5 linked regions of the Kluyveromyces lactis genome follow. The protein of the gene in region 4 interacts with the protein of the main gene of each other region in a biochemical or structural test. Links are inferred from orthologs where the notes say so. Each region holds a gene or a part of one and is shown on either strand. Other genes may lie near its edges.

Region 1 (2,759 bases), on a different chromosome or scaffold from region 4:
TTCTGCACAAATATTGTATGACGAATGCAAAATAACTAGTCAGGTACATTGCGATATCATATAACGCAACTTTCCAAAGATTCATGGTCATGTATCGCAAGATAATTGACTGTGAAAAATCACCATGTTCCTCGTAATATTGTAATGTCACTTTGCAGATGGTGAACGCAACTGCCATCCAAAATAAGACATAGAATCCAGAAAAGTCTGTTGCTATAGTTTCATTTGCAATTTCAATAGTATTATTGTCATCTATCCTCACCGTATTTGATCTGGCTGTTGCCTTTACTCTAGAATATTTCTCGTCTATTGCTGGCCCATTGAAATGAGATCTAAGCGGATTGTTGACCATCTCATCCATGATACTACCTCTAGAGCCCCAGTCTACATCTCGTGTCATGGACTGCATTTCATTCGTATCCTTCTTATATCTGTTCTTTTCCTTCACCTTCAATTTCTGCATGAAAACATGCAGATGTTTGTCGCCTTGTTCGGAGGTGGTTCTAGTCTTAAAGATAACCGTGTCGTTAGGCTGGACCGTGTTGAAAAGAACGTCCGGAGATCCAAGTTCATCGAGAACAGCATCCTCCAACTGTTCCTCATGCAAAGACTTCCTCTTCCCATGGTTGTTGTCGTTCAGCCTTCTTATCCTCAAGAACTGCTCATCCTCAGTTATATCCTTAACGGTGGTATCATGTGAACTGTCACTTGAACCGGACATTATGACAGGTTTTTAATTAAAGATCCAGTTAAATAAATCTTTTATGATATATTAACGTGGATTGACTCTTCACCATGAAATTAGTCTGAGATAAATCTAGGCCAAGTCGTGATTCGTCTTAAGAAGGAAAAAATTCTTGCTAACCTCTCTCTCTCACTCAGACGTTTTAAATATAAATCTCAAATCCGGAATTAACCAATGGTCGTAAGAAGTGTACTGTTAATTACTGAATCTGTTTCCTTTTCCAACCCGTATCGTTTAAACGTCCAAAGTAACTGGCTCTGAATTTCTTCTGATAAATACTCTCAATCCCTTAAATAAACGCCATATGGTGATCCACACCTTCGAGAATTATTCGAGAAAGGAAAAATACAAAAAAAAAGATCACGTGAATGAAAAACATCCATTACCCTGATCCTGTCAGTTTTTCAGTTTTGGACAATTCGCATGGTGGATCAAAGTAAGATAGCATATGGACTCTCAATATTAAAGGATACGTGTGAGATAGACCCGTTAATGAGCCAGTAAAGTCGCTTTCAATACACGATAACGGTTAATTGAAGTTTTCCGACGTCAGATTTGTTGAGAAAAAAATATCAACTCAGAAGAAATGGACTATTTTACTGTAAAACAGCAGTTTTATACTGGTAACTATGAAGAAGCGTTGAACGAAGTTTCTAAGTTTAACAAAACTGAAGATGAGGCGTTGACTTACTACAGAAATAGATCATTGATTGCATTGTCCCAGTTCAGTGAGGGTAGTGCTGATTCTGGCTCACTTGGGCCTGTATTTGAGGCTTACTATAAATTTTTAAGCAAACCTACAGGCTCAATCACTGCACTAGAACAAACCGTTGAAAAGGCGGGCAGATCTCCATTTGCATTGAACTTATTAGCAAGTGCATTGACTATAAAGGGCGAGTTTAAAACTGCTTTGGAGGTTGCCGTTGAAGGAATTGACTCCGATGAAACAAGAGGAACCCCGGAACTACTGTTAACGGCCATCCAAATAACTTTGTTGGATAATCAACCAACCATTGCCTCGACTATGTTTGAAAATTTCCAAGCACTTCAGGAGCAATCGAACGACGATGAAATAATTTTGAATCTTGCAGAGTCATACATCAACTTCAACCAGGGTAAAGAGATCACTGGATCCAATTTCTATTTCTTTGAAGAGTTGTCTCAAACTTTCCCAAGTTGGAAGACTCAATTAGGCCTATTGAATTTACACCTCCAACAATCGCATTTGCCTGAATCCAAAGCAATCATCGACCTCTTAGAAAGCGAGTTCTACGATATCAAACAAGAAGCACAAACGTACAAGCCTGATCTACTTGCAAATAAGATTACGTACACCATCTTATCTGGTGGAAATGCAAACGAATTGAGATCGGAATTGCAACAATTGAAACCATCTCACCCACTATGTGTTGCCGACCTTGAAAATAACAAGACTTTCGATCAAATTGTGGCAAAGTACACAGCCTAAATCTATATATATCAAATAGATCTTGAGTAGCAAATAGTATTGGTATTGGCGATACTTTCCGGGTAACATTGTTCTTTTTCCCATCAATTTCGTGGGAACTGTCAAGATAAAGCGGATTGATCAAACATCCTATACAATGTGAAGGGTTAGTTTTGAAACCAGTCACTCGGTATCGTTTTACAAGGCACCTGCGTTGTATTTAGTTCGAATATTCAGGGGAGTTGATCTTCTTATTTTGATTGTCGATCTAATTCTACTTTAGTTTCCCCCGAATTGAGCTGTAATTCACACAGAATTTGGAGTTTACAAGATGGCTACTGAATTGTCTGATGCTGAGAAACGTAAATTGTTGAGGGAAAGAAGGCAACAGAAGTTTTCCAACGGAGGTGCTTCCAGCAGGTTGAACAAGATCACTGGTCAACAGCAGAATAGCTTTTTGTCTTCAACATCTGTTCTTGATGAGCCAAAAGTTACTCCGTCAGGTAACAAGAAATCATCCAATGTGAGTGACGAAGAAGTTGAAAAGTCTACCAAAGAGATTCAAGA
Region 2 (4,188 bases), on a different chromosome or scaffold from region 4:
GGTAATTCATTTGGTGTAGCACTCATATAAGTTCTTGCACCATCGTATATATCAATGAATGGTGTCCTGAGGGGTTCGAAGTTTACAACGGCTACCTGCTTATTCAAGGCTTGGGCAGCAGCATCAAAGGCTCCAGCGGCTACTAGAACTGCTGGAAGCTTTGAATTTTTAACCCACATTGGCAATTCTGATTCATCTACTTGTTCTTCAGTCACTTCGGATTCTTCGATCTCTAACTCGTCGTCTAATTCCAAATCATTTTGGTCTAGGTCCCAAGCATCTTCTTCCTCTCCAACAGCTTCATCATCAAAGTCTAGGTTATCTTGTTCTCCTAAATCAAACTGGCCAACATTTTGGGTAGTATCTGAAACATTTTCTTCCTTATCATCAGAAATTTCAAGATCTTCGATTTGGCCCAAAAGGGCTTTTTCAAAGAATGAGACTTCAGCTTGCTTTAACGGCCAGTTTTTCAAAGGAGCAGAAATGACAGGGGTTTTTACATTTGTGGAGGAGTTGAGTTCAGTTGGTAGGGAAATGTCTTGCTCATCAATTTCTTCGGATTCCAAAATGGAAGTGGCAAGGTCATCGTCGCCGTTAGCTTTTGCCACTGCATAAGCCAAAGGAGCAGAGCCTGCATTTAAAAAGACATTTGCACGCTTCTGAACTGAGTTATTGTAAAAGGTATTTTGAATCAAGCCGGAAATATCTGATCTATGTTCAGCAATAGACTCCATTTTTGCCAGTTTGGAGTTGTCTCCCTTAAGTAGATATAGGAAAGACAGTTTATCAAACTGCTTAGTGTTTTGATATACCAATTCAGCGATATCTGTGTTACCTTGGATCAAAGCTTCTTTGCCCAATCTTTCCCATACAAGTTCATTGTTCAATTTCTCAGCTTCTTCAAGAGCAACTGTCAAATTACCGTATTGTGTAGCCAAATCAAATCTTGTTTGAGGATCCTCCACGAATTGTAACGCAATTTCAGGATAGCCTGATTTTTGAAGATAAGATATGATGTTTTGACCAACTAAATTTGAATTTTTAATGATACGCAATACCTCAGGGAAATTTTTGTTGACTAAAGTCTTCTTGAAACGATATTCAGTAGGATCAATTGTCAAAATCTCTACTTCCCCTTCACGATTCAAAGCATAGACAAATTTGCCATGTACCTTGTTGATGTATAATGTTCTTTCTAAGGTTTTAATGATACCAGAATCACCATTCAATAGACAGTATTTGATATGGTTCAATGTTGAATAAATTAGGACACCGGTTTCATCCCAACTTGCACTCTTGATTCTAATACTTTCATGGTTTGATGTAACGATTTCCAGTTTTCTGTTTGCGATTGTCAATGTATGCTTACTCATCAATGCAACATATTGGCCATCTTGAGACCACACTGTATACTTGATGTTCTTTAAAGATAATTCATGAAGAATTTTACCTTGTTGGACGTCCATCATTACCACAGAATGAGAATATAGAATCAAAACAGTACCAGGAGCAGCTAATGTGATGTCTTTAACAGTATCAGTTAATTTGATTGACTTTGTGGTTTTGTTATCTAAACTACGAACCTCCAAGCTATTAGTGCTGCCATTGTGCACCACAAATCTGTTACGAGCAACGAAGATCGCAAAACTACCATCATCAGAGATGACGTTGCTAGCTTCAACAGCTCCACTAGGTTGTTTAGGTAAGACACATAAGCTGAACCTGTTGGCTTCCTTTTCGGAGGAGTTGACAAGGACGGAATGTTGGGATGGGTTATAAGACATACTTCTAAATGAACTCCAGGTCTTGCCGATGTTTTTCAAAGAAAGATAAGGTAGAGAAGTGATTCTCTTGTGGTAATCAAACATTTGGACTTGTTTCTCCCTGTTGATAAAGAACAACTGATTTTGGTTTATAGCAGTTGGTGGTCTTTCACGGTCCAACTTAAAGATCATAATACCAGAATCATGAGCAGCACCGAACAGATTTAGGTTTGGGTGAGCTCTCACTAACCAGAATCTGTCATTTTCTCTTTTGAACTGTTTAATTGGAGTACGCTTGTCCAAGTCCCATACTCTTACGGTTTTATCCTCACCAACTGATATAATGAGATTCTGTTGAGGATGGAAAATGACGGAATCAACGTTGTTGGTATGACCTCTACAAGTATCGACCTCCCATGCCTTTGTGGCACTCATTCTCCACAATTTCACTTGACGATCATCAGAACCGGAAACGATCAATGGTAAAGTTGGATGGAAAGAAGCCCAATTTACTCCTCTAGTGTGGCCTTCTAAAATGAACTTCACCACACAATCTCCAAATCCTCCGTCAAGTAAGTTCTGTTGCTGTCTCATTTGTTCTTCGAATGATTGAGTGCCTGGTGCGGAATGTCTTTTTCTTAGCCCTGAAATATCCCAAACTCTAACGGTTTCATCCAAAGAAGCAGAAACCACCAAATCTTCGACTGGATGGAATTGGGCACACATTACGAAGTGGTTATGGCCAGTTAAACATGCTATTTCCTTTCTGTTCTGCCAGTTCCAGATTCTGATGGTTTGATCGTCGGAACTGGAAATAATCCATGGCAATTCGTGATGGAAGAATACTGTACGAACATAGTCTAAATGGCCGTCCAATGTGAATAGACACTTGTTGCTCTCTAAAGACCATACTTTGATAGTATAATCATCACCTGCAGAAACGAAAAGAGGTTGCGTTGGATGGAAATCAATGCCACGTACCGGACCCTCATGATCTTCAAAACGGTGAAGCAAAACACCCATACGGTAATCCCATAATTGGATGGTTGATGAGAAAAGTGCTACCAGAACCCAAGGCCTAGACGGATGAAAAGCAATACCTTTCGCCCTGGTAGACTTTGATTCGAACTTAGTTAACATCTTCATGATGAAAGCAAGCTTTTCAAGACTTCGATCTAAATCTGAGTAAAAACTGTGAGAAATATAAGAAGAATAACTCGGAAGAAAACGTCACAATTGCAGTTAACAATATACCAATTGGTTACGATTGAAGCTTTCCTTCGATGGTTAGTCCTCACTGACAACTCAATTAGACGACAAAGTACCTTGATCGTTGTTTATTAGCCAAAGTCAGCTTCATTCAAGGTTCATAAAATTACTTAAAATACACATATGGCTTACTATTTTGAAATAAGATCGTGTTTTATTTGAAAAGTTGTCCTTTTTGAAAATTGGAAGAATCCGAAGAGTATGCAAAGGACGTAATGGTAGGGTAATAATTACCCGAATTTGTGCCAGACGCATCTCTACAGATTCTATGCGTAAGAGAATGCTAGAAGAGATAGCATATACGAGAGTGGTATACATAGGTCTATATATCTATACATGTATAGTGTAGATGTGAACATCTGGGCAACCTTTACTGATTAATGTAGCATATTAAGCAATCTTTTGATAGGATTTCTGTTATTGTGACTGGAACCCCCATTTGTGGTAGCATCGCGTGACTGCAGAGCGTTTCGTAGGAGCAAATCTTGTTCTTCATGATTTTTTTCCGATGGTTTATTAGTGTCTTGAATAAACCTGTTTGAAGGACTCTGATCCGGCCCATCTCCCTGCTCTTGCTTCAATTGTTTACCTACCAAAAGACTTTGTTGCTGTCTTCCCGGATTTAGGCCATTCTTGTCCAAGGAAGATAAATAAGGTAATTTGCCCTTCTTCCAAATGACTGAATCTTCAAACCACGTATGCTCATTAAACTTGTCATAATTGTAATCGTAAGTAATATCTAACAATGAATTAGCATCAATAGGTAAATGTAATCTTTCTAGTTCATCAACTATTGATGGCCAGAATTTGTTTTCGTAAGGTGTAACGGCTATTGATTCCACAGTTGCATAAAATTGACCCTTCTCAAGTATATCGGGCGAGTTTTCCCAATCAATGAGCCCTCCAGCCCACATTATGGTACCAGGGTCAGCATCTTCTCTTCCACCTGGCCACACCGACACTTGCAATCTCATTGGTGTTTGTGGATATTCGTATCTTTGTTTTTCCTCATTCCATGTATCTTCCTTGTATAATGTTCTAGCTACTACACCGTCCACAATCCAGTTGATTCTATCTTGGTCCCAATCGACTTCGTAAATATGAGTATTTTCAAAACTGTCAGAACTTAGTTCTAGCTTTTCCATCCTTGTGTGAT
Region 3 (4,344 bases), about 960 kb from region 4:
TATATCAAGTTGTTTGATAAGTCTTCTGCCAACGATTCCTTGTCGGATTTCACTAGAGCCTTAATTGCAATACCCTTACTTGTCTTGATCATCTTGATGGAAAGCAGGGCTTTAGTGTTGTCTAAGATACATTTTCCTGAAAGTTTTAGAGTATGTTGGGTGGCATCGTGGGATACTATTTGTGAGTTTTCCAAAGGTAAACCACCAGCGCTAATGACTAACTTGTCGATGACTTCTTGTAGTGTGTTAGTTTCGACAATGTTGTAGACAGAGACGGATTCATAAGGTAGTTCTTCCAAAGAGGTGGCAAAATTGCTTACGAATGATGGTTTCATGTAGTCACCGGGACTCAAGAACAATGAATCAAATTCGTATTCATCTTGGAACCCTTCGTCATCTTCGAATGGCAAAGAGGTAGATGGGTCTAATTCCTTGGATTGGAATTTCAACGAGTTGCTGAATCTTTCTACAATGATATCATCCTTGTTCTGTGTTAGTTTCTTGAACGATACGTAACATGACTCTCCTTCATTGGGTAAGAGTCTTTCAATAGGCAAAACAAATTCCTCTTGTTCGTCAAGTAAACCCTCTGATAATCCTTCTTGTTGGCATACCACTTCAACGTTATCAAGCGCAACGTCCTTCAATGTGTTAGTGATATGGAATTGTAATACAACGTGCTCGTCAAACAAATGCTTGATACCCTTCACAACGAATTCAGCTTCAATTTCCGTTAATGGGACAATCTTGGAAGAATGGATACACTTGCCAAAGGACTGGAATTGTTCCAAGGAGGACATTTCATCCACGTATTTGGACAATAGCAAATCTTCTTCTTCAGATTCCAATGAAGGTCCATTGAAGCTATTGTCATCCAATCTATCACCCTTTCTACCACCCTTTTCAGTACCGTTACCATTTCCGGCACCACTGTTGGAAGATTCTTCTGTATGGTTGAAGGCTTGCTCTTGTCTGCGTTTCAAATCCAATGCCTTCTTCTCGTCTTCGGAGTATTTGGCAACTGACGAGACGTCAAATGGAGTCTTGAATGCCTCTTGGCCTTGTGACAAATAGTGTGATAGTTTTGATTCAAGAGCAACAACGTCATAGGTAGAAGTTGGGCGAATGAAATTTTGTGCGATATTGGAAACATCTTTCTTGGACTTAACCGAATCGATGAATTGCAAAGCAATGGATGCTCTATCTCTAACTTCATCATCTGAATCAGTCTTGATTTGAGTCAATAGCTGTTCAATACTTTCTACTAACTCAGGGTCATTCTTAACAAGTGCAAATTTGGAAAGAGACAACACAGCAGCAGATCTGATGATAGAATTCTCTAGAATAACTCTATTGTAAATGTGTCTCACGTATAATGACGGGTTCTTAGTGGTTGGACCCTCCTTACCCAATAGATGTAAGATTCTAACCAATATTTCATTATATTCACAATCTTCGATGAAATCACATAATTCTTCTAAAGCTTTTTCCTTAGATTGTGGGACGAATTGAATTAAATCAATTAATGCTTCCACGACACTATTTTTGAATTGAAGACTGCCTTCGGCAGATTGTAAGGATTCCATCAAGAAATGTAATATTGTATCACATTCCTCAGGGAAATTTAGAGAAAGAGTTCTAATAGCATCAATAATGATGATCTTGAAATCGTCATTCACCTCGTGGATGAACTTGGTAATTGTCTTAATCAAAGAACCAATGTTCTTGTCGGTACCAGTCTTCAACAAGGTAGTGATTGTGTAAGTGGAAATGTTTCTGTTGCTATCGTTAACAAGAGATTCCAATTGTGGATTACATACCACAATTTTCTCTGGTGAAACCATAGAAATCTTGTTCAACAAACGCACTGCAGCAAATCTGGTTGTCACACGAGGAGTGGACAAGAATCCTTGCAAGACAGAAACCGCTGCTGCAAACAAATCGTTAGGAACCAAGTTGGATAGAGACGCAGTAAGCTTACAAGCTTCCAAAGCAACAGCCTCGTGTCTGCTTTGCAACCAATTAGCTATTAGTGGTAAGAACTGGGGGATGGAGTTAGGATCCTTCAAAACCAATTGGTGCACGAATTTAACCATTTGTACTTGAGCCAATTGATTTTTCAATGGTGAAGAATGACCGGCAAACTGTTGGATCAATTTGATCAAAGCCATCTTATCGTGATTCTTCAATTGGTACAACAAACCCAATGCATGGTATTGAGAGATATGAGACGTAGTTGGATAATATCTACTGTTCTCATCTGGATATGGCAACTGTTTCAAATCACCAACGGCTTCCTGAGTCTCATTAGCAAATCTCTTCACCGTAGTTTCAGCGATTGGTAATAAATGGTATGAACTGACCAAAGAAGCAGAACAAATAGATGGATGTTTGCTAACCAACGAATTTTTCAATAATCTTTCTGCAGAAAATGCAGTGGACTCATCCAAGACACGGATCAATGCTCTAATAGCATTAGGCTTCACTAGATCTGAACCATTTTGAACATCTTTCATAATTGAAGAAGTAGCCATCAAGATATCATCGGAGATTCCACACAATTCCTTAATAGCCACGTAAACGATTTGTCTCAAAGAATCGTTAGGGTGTTGGAACAATTTCGAAATGGAAAAGAATAAAGCAGTAGCTTCTTGTCTAGGGAAAGTCTCACCATGCGACAATAGTTCCAACAAGCTTGTGATCAGGGTACGGCACAGTTTAGGATTCACAGGAGATTCATTGAACCGATTCAAACAATCCTGATAGATCGCCATTTTGTCTGGCAAGGACCCACTGTGTGGGTCCTCAGACTTCTTATAAGTTTGTGCAGACATGCAATTGGCAGTGCTAGGATACCTTCAAATGACGTACTAACCTTTAGTAGCCAATTTTGAGCCTATTAACCTCGTGTTTTATCCAATTCTTTTTGCCGTGTGGTATGGTATATATTTATATTCATAATGTTTTCAGTTTGCAAATCGGTAGAAGTCCTTTGGAATGAAAAAAAAAGTGAAGCGGGTGTGTGAAAGTGAGGGTAACACTTGTTTTTTAATTATGATATATATGTATATATATATATATATATGGATATGGAGATATATATGATATAGCAGGCAAGATCACTGCTGCTGTTCATCTAGAGTCAGGAGTAGTTGTGCAAGACATCTCTTGGTACCTACATCGTCCTGTAGTGCTTCATTGAAGGTGTTATCTCTTAGTTGTTGCGGCAAAACTTGTTTCAACAATCTTCTGGCTTCTAAATTATCCGATAATCTTAGGTAGCATCTTACAACATGTTTCAATAATCTTCCCGGCACCTGTTGTTGGGACATGTGCTTAAACATAGTTGCCAAAACTTGTGACACCGCGTAGAACCGTTCTGGGGTCGCGCATACGAACTGGAGTCCGTTATCGTCTAATAATATTTTCTGTAAGATGAAGATAGCGACGATCTTCGAAAGTTCTGAAGAGTTTTCCATGATTCTTAAACATAATGGGATAATATCTGTCCTTAGAAGGAAACTGATCACTTCTGCAGAATCGTTTTTCACTAGAGCACCGATGACACCTAGTGAAGTTAGCCTTAAATATTCAAAAGTTCTTTGGTTTGATGTCGTAGATAAGAATGGGAAAAGGAACAACGGGATGTGAGCCTGTAAGAATTGAGGCCTGATATCTGGGTGTGATGCGACACATTGTAAGAGCACCAAAGCGTTGCATACGCGGTTTGATAACTGGTTTGATAATGCAGGAGGTGAAAGAAGCGGATAAATTGAAATTATTTCCTTTAGCAACGACGTCATCACACCGAAACTGGACCACAGCACGATAGCCAAATCCTCATACTGTTCACGTTTCTTACCTAGTTCTAGAAGCGCTTGTTCTTTGCTTGGCCCGTAAGTGAGCTGGCATATCCAATGGTAGACATTTGGATCATCTAGCGCATGTGTTATTCCTGCTGGTGTGGGACCTGGCCCAGGAACTGAACTTGGTCCTGCAGTTGGCCCTTGGCCCATCCCAGGCATCTGACCTGGAAGTTGGTTGTTTTCTACTACTGGGTGGGGCATTCCTTGTTGCAAACCAGGAGGCATATTTTGGGGTTGCTGTTGTTGCTGTTGGCCCTGGGTTTGATTTTGACCCTGAGCCTGCCCTTGAGGCTGGCCTTGACCCTGGCCTTGGTTATTTGGGAAGTAAGGTTTCAATTGTGGGAAATATTTCCTGCGGGTTTGTTCCGAGAACACATTCCCCTGAGCTTGAGCCGCTTGAGCCTGGGGTTGCTGTTGAAACATGGCAGATGATAATTGCGGGTGTTCTACCTGATGCACAAGCTGGATGATGTGTCCT
Region 4 (2,816 bases):
ATCTGAGGGTGAGCCAGGGATTTGGTTATATAATCAACTACCGATCGATGGTAGCAAGGAACAGTTTGACTCAAATGCAGTCTCAGCTTACTGCTTTGATCCTAAATCCAGAACATTTGTGGGGTATGACAATGTTCAATCCATGGATATCAAGGGAAAATACATCAAGAAGAAAAACTTGAACGGTGGATTTTGGTGGGAATCTTGTGGGGATTCCAAAGACCCCAGGAAGTCACTAGTTAACGCATTTAGTAAGGAAATTGGCCTGTCTGAAGGCTTTGTATCATTGTTCAAAAGCGATAAAGTAAAGCAATTTCATTTACAAAAGTACCCCAAGGATTATATTTCAAGTCTTTTCCAGAAGCTCTAACTTCAGCCTTTCATATCAGATTTCAATGAATGAATATCATTACCAAGTAATGGAATTTGTGCTCAAATCGAGTTTACATTGTGATTTAGAACTAGTCGGATATTGTCCGTAGAATTTTTGAGATACAAGTATATATATATATGTGAATGATCCACACTGTTCTTCGAATCATAATACTATGGACTTTATAACAATGTGTCCATACGTGAAAAGACCTCAAAAACTCCAGCAACAACTTCAAGTTGCAAATCTGAACCCGGATGATTATTTAATTCCTGTGAAATCTCTTTATTTAAGTTCACTGAAACACCGGTGCTTGTTTGTTTATCGAGTGGGAACGGAAATTCTGAAAATTGAGCTAGAATTTCATCCGCACGAGCAAACCCTGTATCTCTCACTTCGTAATCTAAGGTAGCCAAGACATTTTCTAGAACATTAGCACCATAAGCACCACAGATTAAAGACAAGGTTCTAATATATTTAAAGGAAACATCTTGTGGGAAATAGGTATTATAAGTCAATTCAGCATTCCTTGAAACCAGTATCGATAGTATTCTTCTTTTAATAGATTCCTTGCAAGTTGTATCAGTGATCGGGTGTGTGGCCATGTCAAACAAAAAGAAGTTCTTCATTTCAGTTCTCAAAACACCTTTGTCAACCAATCCCTTTGCTAATCTTTCCCTAACTTGTTTCAATTGATAATTGATCTTTAGGAGATTCCAAGTCTCGCCACTAAGTAGGTCAATCCATCCGACAATTGAAGTTGGTGGATCGTTCTTCATTAAAGATAAACTTTCATCAAGTAAGACCTCGCCAGTTTTACTTCCGTCTATGACTTCAATTAATCTCTCACTGACATCGTATCTCTTTCTTGCTGGATCATCAACACATCTAATCTTACCTCGTAACGCTAGTTCTATCAAGATGCACCCACGTAGGGCGTACGAGATATTATCGTTCCAGAATGATAAATATCCCTGTTTATCCTTTAGTCCCATCAACAAAACTTCCTCCATTAAGGTCAACTTAGGAACACTAGTGTTGTCCCTTAGTTTCGCCTCTTGCTCGTCATATACAATCTTATGATCATGCTCATTATCTATTTGAGGGATTGATTCCGTTGTATCACCTTTATTAACTCGGCGACGCTGTAAAGACATGATGAATTTTTACCCTATTTTTTCGGCGTGCAACTTTGCAAGTTCACTTCTTGACAAGTCACAGTCCAATTGTCGGATAACAGAATTCCAATCCTACCTTCAAGTCAAACCTAATGACTTAAAGCCAATTGTGACACGAAGAGTAAATCTTTAAAATCATTCACCATAGATATAAACTAGGTTTGATCAAAATCAGTTAGTTATTTTTCATTTTGATGTTTTTTTTTTTCAAATTAGATCAAGGTAACTAACTAATTAAGAACTCCTGCCTGCCTTGCGAAAATCAATTTACCCTCACATGTGGATATTGAATCGAAGATAGTATCCGCACAGTAAGCCTAACTGAACGCCAGATCTTATAAATTTTACCAATTCCTGCATTACATACTGATCTATCTTTTAATTAATATAATGTAAATCATATTTATGCCACTTTAAGAGCGACACGGGTTACTCCTGTTGTTGAAGAATTCGTTTCAATGGTTCGATAGTTTCTTGTTCTTGACCTTCACGGACGTAGACCAAAAAGTATGGAGTGGCCGTATTACCCTCCGTGAAGTTGAATACTTCCGATTGTGGCACCTCTGTAACTGAGTCATCATTATACTTCCTCCAGATACCATTTTTGGTGTGATCTTTAATATAGACCCAGTAATGGCCGTAACTTGCTTCACCACGATGAATGAAAACGGCGAATAAAGAATAGCCGATATGTTTGAATTCGCTGAACTGTTGGGAAATAGTTGTCTCTAGATCTGTAATTTTGTTGAATAAGCTCTTTAGTTCCTCGTCTATGTTATTGATTAAAATATCAATGTAGGCGATCGATGAGGGGATATTGTCCGCATCAATATCGTGCGCTTTCAAGGTACCGGACTGTAAGAACTTTTTGGTCTCAATGAGCGAGGATTTTAAAGTTAATCCTATTTCGTTCTGTGAGAGTAGTTTCCTCTGTCTTTGCTTTAAGTCTTGAAGTTTCTGTTTCAATTCTGCGTTTTGTTGAATTTCTGCTAATAGTTTTGGATCCTCGGTAGCCATATATCTATCCATGTACAACGTTTCGCCGAAAGGTAGCGGCTCGATAGACTTGAAAGGCATGAATTTTTCTCTATCATAATAGACTCTCTGGATTTGAATTTGTAGAACCGCAGGTAACTCTGAGATAGATACAGTTCTCTTTACATCACCATACTCCTCCAAATTCAAATAGTCATTCTGAAAGTAAAAATCTAAAGCATCATAAATATCCTTTGGATGGTCACCGGTGTTAACCAATAAGGATAAAA
Region 5 (4,041 bases), on a different chromosome or scaffold from region 4:
AATATTGTCACCATTGGTTAAAGCTAACCCTTGGGTCTTTGAACGAATACGGATTTCACCAACAATTTCTTGTGTGATTGGATCCTTCTCTATGCACAGGTTAGCCAAAGCGTCCTCGCCAAATGTAGATCTAGAATATAAGTTACAACTTAGGAATCTGGAATCATTGTCGCCGAGTGCCTCTTCAGGGGTTAGAACCTTCATATGTGTAACTTCCACCAACTTCTCTAAATAACCGCGTAAAGATGGTAATTTGGATTTGATACGAAGTTTATTTTCCCATTCAAACGCATTCCACATCTTACGGAAACTGTTATCATCGCAGATTGCTGGTTTCACATAATCCATTGTGTCGATATGAACGTCATTCAAGATGACATAACGAGAATCTTGACCGTGACCACCATCATATATAATGTTACCGAAAATAACACCAGTATCTGCTGAGGACACCTTTGCTGTTATCGTAATTTTGTGGAACCCATGTGGAATAACGTTGGTGCTAGGTGGGTGGTCAATAATTTTTAAGTCACCAAGAGTAGCGAATTGAACATGTAGGTTTTTCAAAGTATCCTTGGTTTGGTTCACTAATAGAACATCTAACACAACATCGAATTGGTGATTAGTGATATAACACTCGGCATAAACAGGATCGCTGAAACCAGTCAATGGGACGATCTTCTTCAATTTTGAAGTGATAGAATTAGCTTGTAGTTTGGAATATGATACAGTACCGGTGGTAGCCAATTTTATATCTTCTTCGATTGAATCGACGGGGGTATTGTGCAAGCCTGCATTCTTAAATTGTCTGAAAACGATGGATTTATCGATGGCCTCGGCGTGCTTGGCTAGGTAGTTTGATCTCTTGGCAGCATTCTTCTTCAAAGTAACATTGACTCTTGATTTGTATGATTCGTTGGTAGCTTCCAAGAATGCCAAACTCAAAAGTTCTTTCTCTGCTTGACTTTCTTCGGTAGAAATCTCGTCCATCAATACCGAAATTGCCGTCATTAGTCTTTCAGCAGAGTCCTCGTCAATCTTCTTTTCTACTAAGTTACTTTGACCTAATCTGATGATACTAACCAAAATCAACAACCCTTCGGCCTTTAGGGCGTTAGTTACAGAAGTGTTCTTGGAAATCTTTTCGAATTTCAACACCAATTTAACGATAGAGTTAGCCAACACAGAGGCAGTAAAGAAATCTCCATTTAGGACGAAACGACGTAAAGGAGGTCTTGCTTCTTTTTCCTCGTTTGAGGTGGATTTGACCTTTTCTGAGACAGATAGAGCAGATTCGGTTGCATAAGTACCATCTGGCAAAACTACCGGCCCTGTGGATACTATTGGGGCCTTTTCAGTATCGTCTTCGTCATCATTTTGAACTCTTCTCAGTTCAGATTGAACAATTGGAACTTCACCTATACTTGAACGGATGTGCTTCCAGGTATTCTGGATTTCTGCTTCGGATTGGGCATGCTCACCTAGTACCCAAAGAGCACCACGGTAAGCCTTTGCTGACTTTACTTCATGCAATGTCTCAATCAAAGTAGTTAAAATCTCAGATCTTAACTCAGGATACCTTTCAATGACCTGTTTTGTAAAGGAAATGACATCATTGGCACTTTCAGACGACAAGTTACCGATAAAATCTAGAAGCAATGAGACAACATTGGAGGAGACTTCAATAAATCTTATTGCCACTTTGTTAATGGATTTGATCAATAATTGCCTGTACTCCAGAGTTTTATCGTTACTGCTATCAGCAGTAGATTGTAATTCTTTCCTCAATAACTTAACTACACTGTCTACGTTTCTGGACGTAATCAATTCTAAGGAGATATCCAAAGCCTTAGCACGGACATCCAAATCTTGTGCGTTCAAAACACGTAGAATATCCAATGTTAGATCCTCTAAAGAGCCTGGATTCTTCTCGTTTATTTCGTTGATTTTTTCTAAAACAACCAACTTGATGTTGTTATCAGATTCTTTTGTGGCCAAATCAATTAGCTTGTTAGCTACGGTCAATAAAATAGCTTCTTTATTGGTTAGAACAGTTAAAGTAATGGCAGCTTCGTACATGACATCCGTAGAACGAGTAGAAACTAAAAGATCTTGCAACAATTCAACATACTGAGAGACCAATCCTGGAGTTTTGATAGCATCCTTTCTAATGAAACTAATGAAGGCGTTTTGTAGCAAAGCATCCAAATTTTCAATCGAAGTTAGGTTGTCCTGTAGGTAGTTCAACGCAGCTTCACGGTCCAATTCTGCAAGACCTAGGAAAGCATTTCTCTTACAAATTGGATCAGTTTCTGCAACCAAAAAGGAATCAATCACTTCACAAGCATCAGGAATCAAATGGTCGCTGACTTTGTAAATGGAAAGAACTGCTAAGATTGCATACTTACGAACGTATGCGTGTCTGTATTCCAAACAAGCACGGACAGAAGGAACCATTTGCTCTAAAAGTTCTGCTTCTTTCAATTTCGTCAAGAATCTTAAGGTATTGCCCCTGATGTATTCGTTTGGATGTTGCAAATCATGTTGGATAGCGTTGCAGACAAGAATCATTTCTTGCTTCAATTTACCTTCACGATCTAATTTTGGAACAATTTCCCAGTAAAAGTATAAAAGCTTCTTCAATTGCTTGTTCTTTGAAGGCATCACAAATCTGATGATGTGCATCAACAAATCTGGTAATGGATTACCATCTAACATGGTCACCAAGATCCTCTTCATGGTCGCGATCTTTTCAGTATCAGACCCCTTTTCCAATGCCTTTTGGAAGTCTGATACGGTATATGTGACCCCATTTGGATTGGGGTCGTACACTAACGTATACGCAGGTTGTTCGACGCCGACTGTCATACCTCAATTGACCTGTGTGTCTTGTGTAGCTTCTTTTAACTTCCTGGTTCTCGCATATGTTATTTCATAACAGAACTGTTCCAAAACAGCATGTTCTTTATTTCAGAATCTCATTTTCGTCCTGAAAATCAACATAAAACAAAGTACGGGTAACAATGAATTTGACCGGGTATTAGAAACGTTAATATATACATTGGTACAAGATACGTATAGATCAAGATATAGATGCAGCAGTAATATTGTTTGAATGATAGTTTATTCTGAATCTGGGTTGGTTATATGCAATCCTGTTCCAGCGGTACCGCGGTAGTAACCGAAATCTGCTACGTCAAGCTCGTAATCATCGTCAGCATTCGAAATGCTAGATTTATGAGATTTGGGATTAGTGTCACCTTTTTCATGTACTGCAGGAGTACATGGCTTTTGAGATTCTTCAATCAGGTTATATTTCCGTAGATCTAGTGGTAGCTGTGGACTGTACGTTACGTCTAGAGTACCGCTTCTCATTCTACCAGCATTTCTCGTGAAATAGCTGGATACAGTATCTGATCTTTTCAAGCGCGTTTGGGAAACTTCGTCATGAATTCTTTGTTTTGGGTTCTCACGCAACGGTGCCATTAAATCATCGCTATCGTATGCCTCATCACCAGGAATATCATCAAGAATATCTTGGTCTGCCTCGGAAATTTTTTCATCCTTGTTGAACAAAGTATGAAATTCCTTAGTATGATCAACTTTTGTGGACTCGGTATTGAATTTGAGGCCTGTAGTACTGTTATTTTCCTCTTCTTCTTCCTCTTCTTTTGTAGTTTCAAGTGATAATAGCTTCTGTTTGGCCTTGCCGTGCTTTATACCGACTTGTCTAGTACTTGTTCGTATTGTAACTTTGATATTTTGTGGTTGTTCAAGAGTATTCTTGTTCTTCAAAGCATAAGGTAGATCTGGAGGCAACTGTAAGGAATTTGACGTGGGGAAGTACAAGAGCCGTAGCTCTTCTATGTAGCTTGAGATGAGTCGAACATTTTTATCTGGAATCGATCCCTTGGTCAAACTTTTCTTGAATTCTGATGACGGAGTCGTGTTGATGGTGTCGTTATCAATGGACTTTGCTTCCAGTGCTGAAGATTGACGAGATTCAGTATTACTTAATAACGAAGATGCTGCACCTTTTTT

The links.
Region 1: the proteins of VPS74 (region 4) and SEC28 form a complex in vitro, tested with the Saccharomyces cerevisiae proteins (2 studies listed by BioGRID). The link is inferred for Kluyveromyces lactis from reciprocal best matches to the Saccharomyces cerevisiae genes VPS74 and SEC28.
Region 2: the proteins of VPS74 (region 4) and COP1 form a complex in vitro, tested with the Saccharomyces cerevisiae proteins (2 studies listed by BioGRID). The link is inferred for Kluyveromyces lactis from reciprocal best matches to the Saccharomyces cerevisiae genes VPS74 and COP1.
Region 3: the proteins of VPS74 (region 4) and SEC21 form a complex in vitro, tested with the Saccharomyces cerevisiae proteins (2 studies listed by BioGRID). The link is inferred for Kluyveromyces lactis from reciprocal best matches to the Saccharomyces cerevisiae genes VPS74 and SEC21.
Region 5: the proteins of VPS74 (region 4) and SEC26 form a complex in vitro, tested with the Saccharomyces cerevisiae proteins (2 studies listed by BioGRID). The link is inferred for Kluyveromyces lactis from reciprocal best matches to the Saccharomyces cerevisiae genes VPS74 and SEC26.

What each region holds. Positions count from the first base shown.
Region 1 is NC_006039.1:798,489-801,247, forward strand, and holds SEC28 (coatomer subunit epsilon), read left to right. Parts: upstream 1-1,331; coding exon 1,332-2,213; downstream 2,214-2,759. Other genes in the region: ARE2 (sterol acyltransferase), read right to left, coding at 1-721; GET complex subunit GET2, read left to right, coding at 2,524-2,759. UniProt on the Saccharomyces cerevisiae protein: The coatomer is a cytosolic protein complex that binds to dilysine motifs and reversibly associates with Golgi non-clathrin-coated vesicles, which further mediate biosynthetic protein transport from the ER, via the Golgi up to the trans Golgi network.
Region 2 is NC_006042.1:478,774-482,961, forward strand, and holds the start of COP1 (coatomer subunit alpha), read right to left. Parts: upstream 2,910-4,188; coding exon 1-2,909. Other genes in the region: CRR1 (putative glycosylase), read right to left, coding at 3,410-4,188. UniProt on the Saccharomyces cerevisiae protein: The coatomer is a cytosolic protein complex that binds to dilysine motifs and reversibly associates with Golgi non-clathrin-coated vesicles, which further mediate biosynthetic protein transport from the ER, via the Golgi up to the trans Golgi network.
Region 3 is NC_006041.1:1,172,997-1,177,340, reverse strand, and holds the start of SEC21 (coatomer subunit gamma), read right to left. Parts: upstream 2,835-4,344; coding exon 1-2,834. Other genes in the region: CCR4-NOT core subunit CAF40, read right to left, coding at 3,120-4,344. UniProt on the Saccharomyces cerevisiae protein: The coatomer is a cytosolic protein complex that binds to dilysine motifs and reversibly associates with Golgi non-clathrin-coated vesicles, which further mediate biosynthetic protein transport from the ER, via the Golgi up to the trans Golgi network.
Region 4 is NC_006041.1:216,667-219,482, forward strand, and holds VPS74 (Vps74p), read right to left. Parts: upstream 1,531-2,816; coding exon 556-1,530; downstream 1-555. Other genes in the region: CTS2 (putative chitinase), read left to right, coding at 1-370; ubiquitin-specific protease UBP2, read right to left, coding at 1,981-2,816.
Region 5 is NC_006039.1:1,329,060-1,333,100, forward strand, and holds the start of SEC26 (coatomer subunit beta), read right to left. Parts: upstream 2,869-4,041; coding exon 1-2,868. Other genes in the region: KLLA0_C15301g (uncharacterized protein), read right to left, coding at 3,124-4,041. UniProt on the Saccharomyces cerevisiae protein: The coatomer is a cytosolic protein complex that binds to dilysine motifs and reversibly associates with Golgi non-clathrin-coated vesicles, which further mediate biosynthetic protein transport from the ER, via the Golgi up to the trans Golgi network.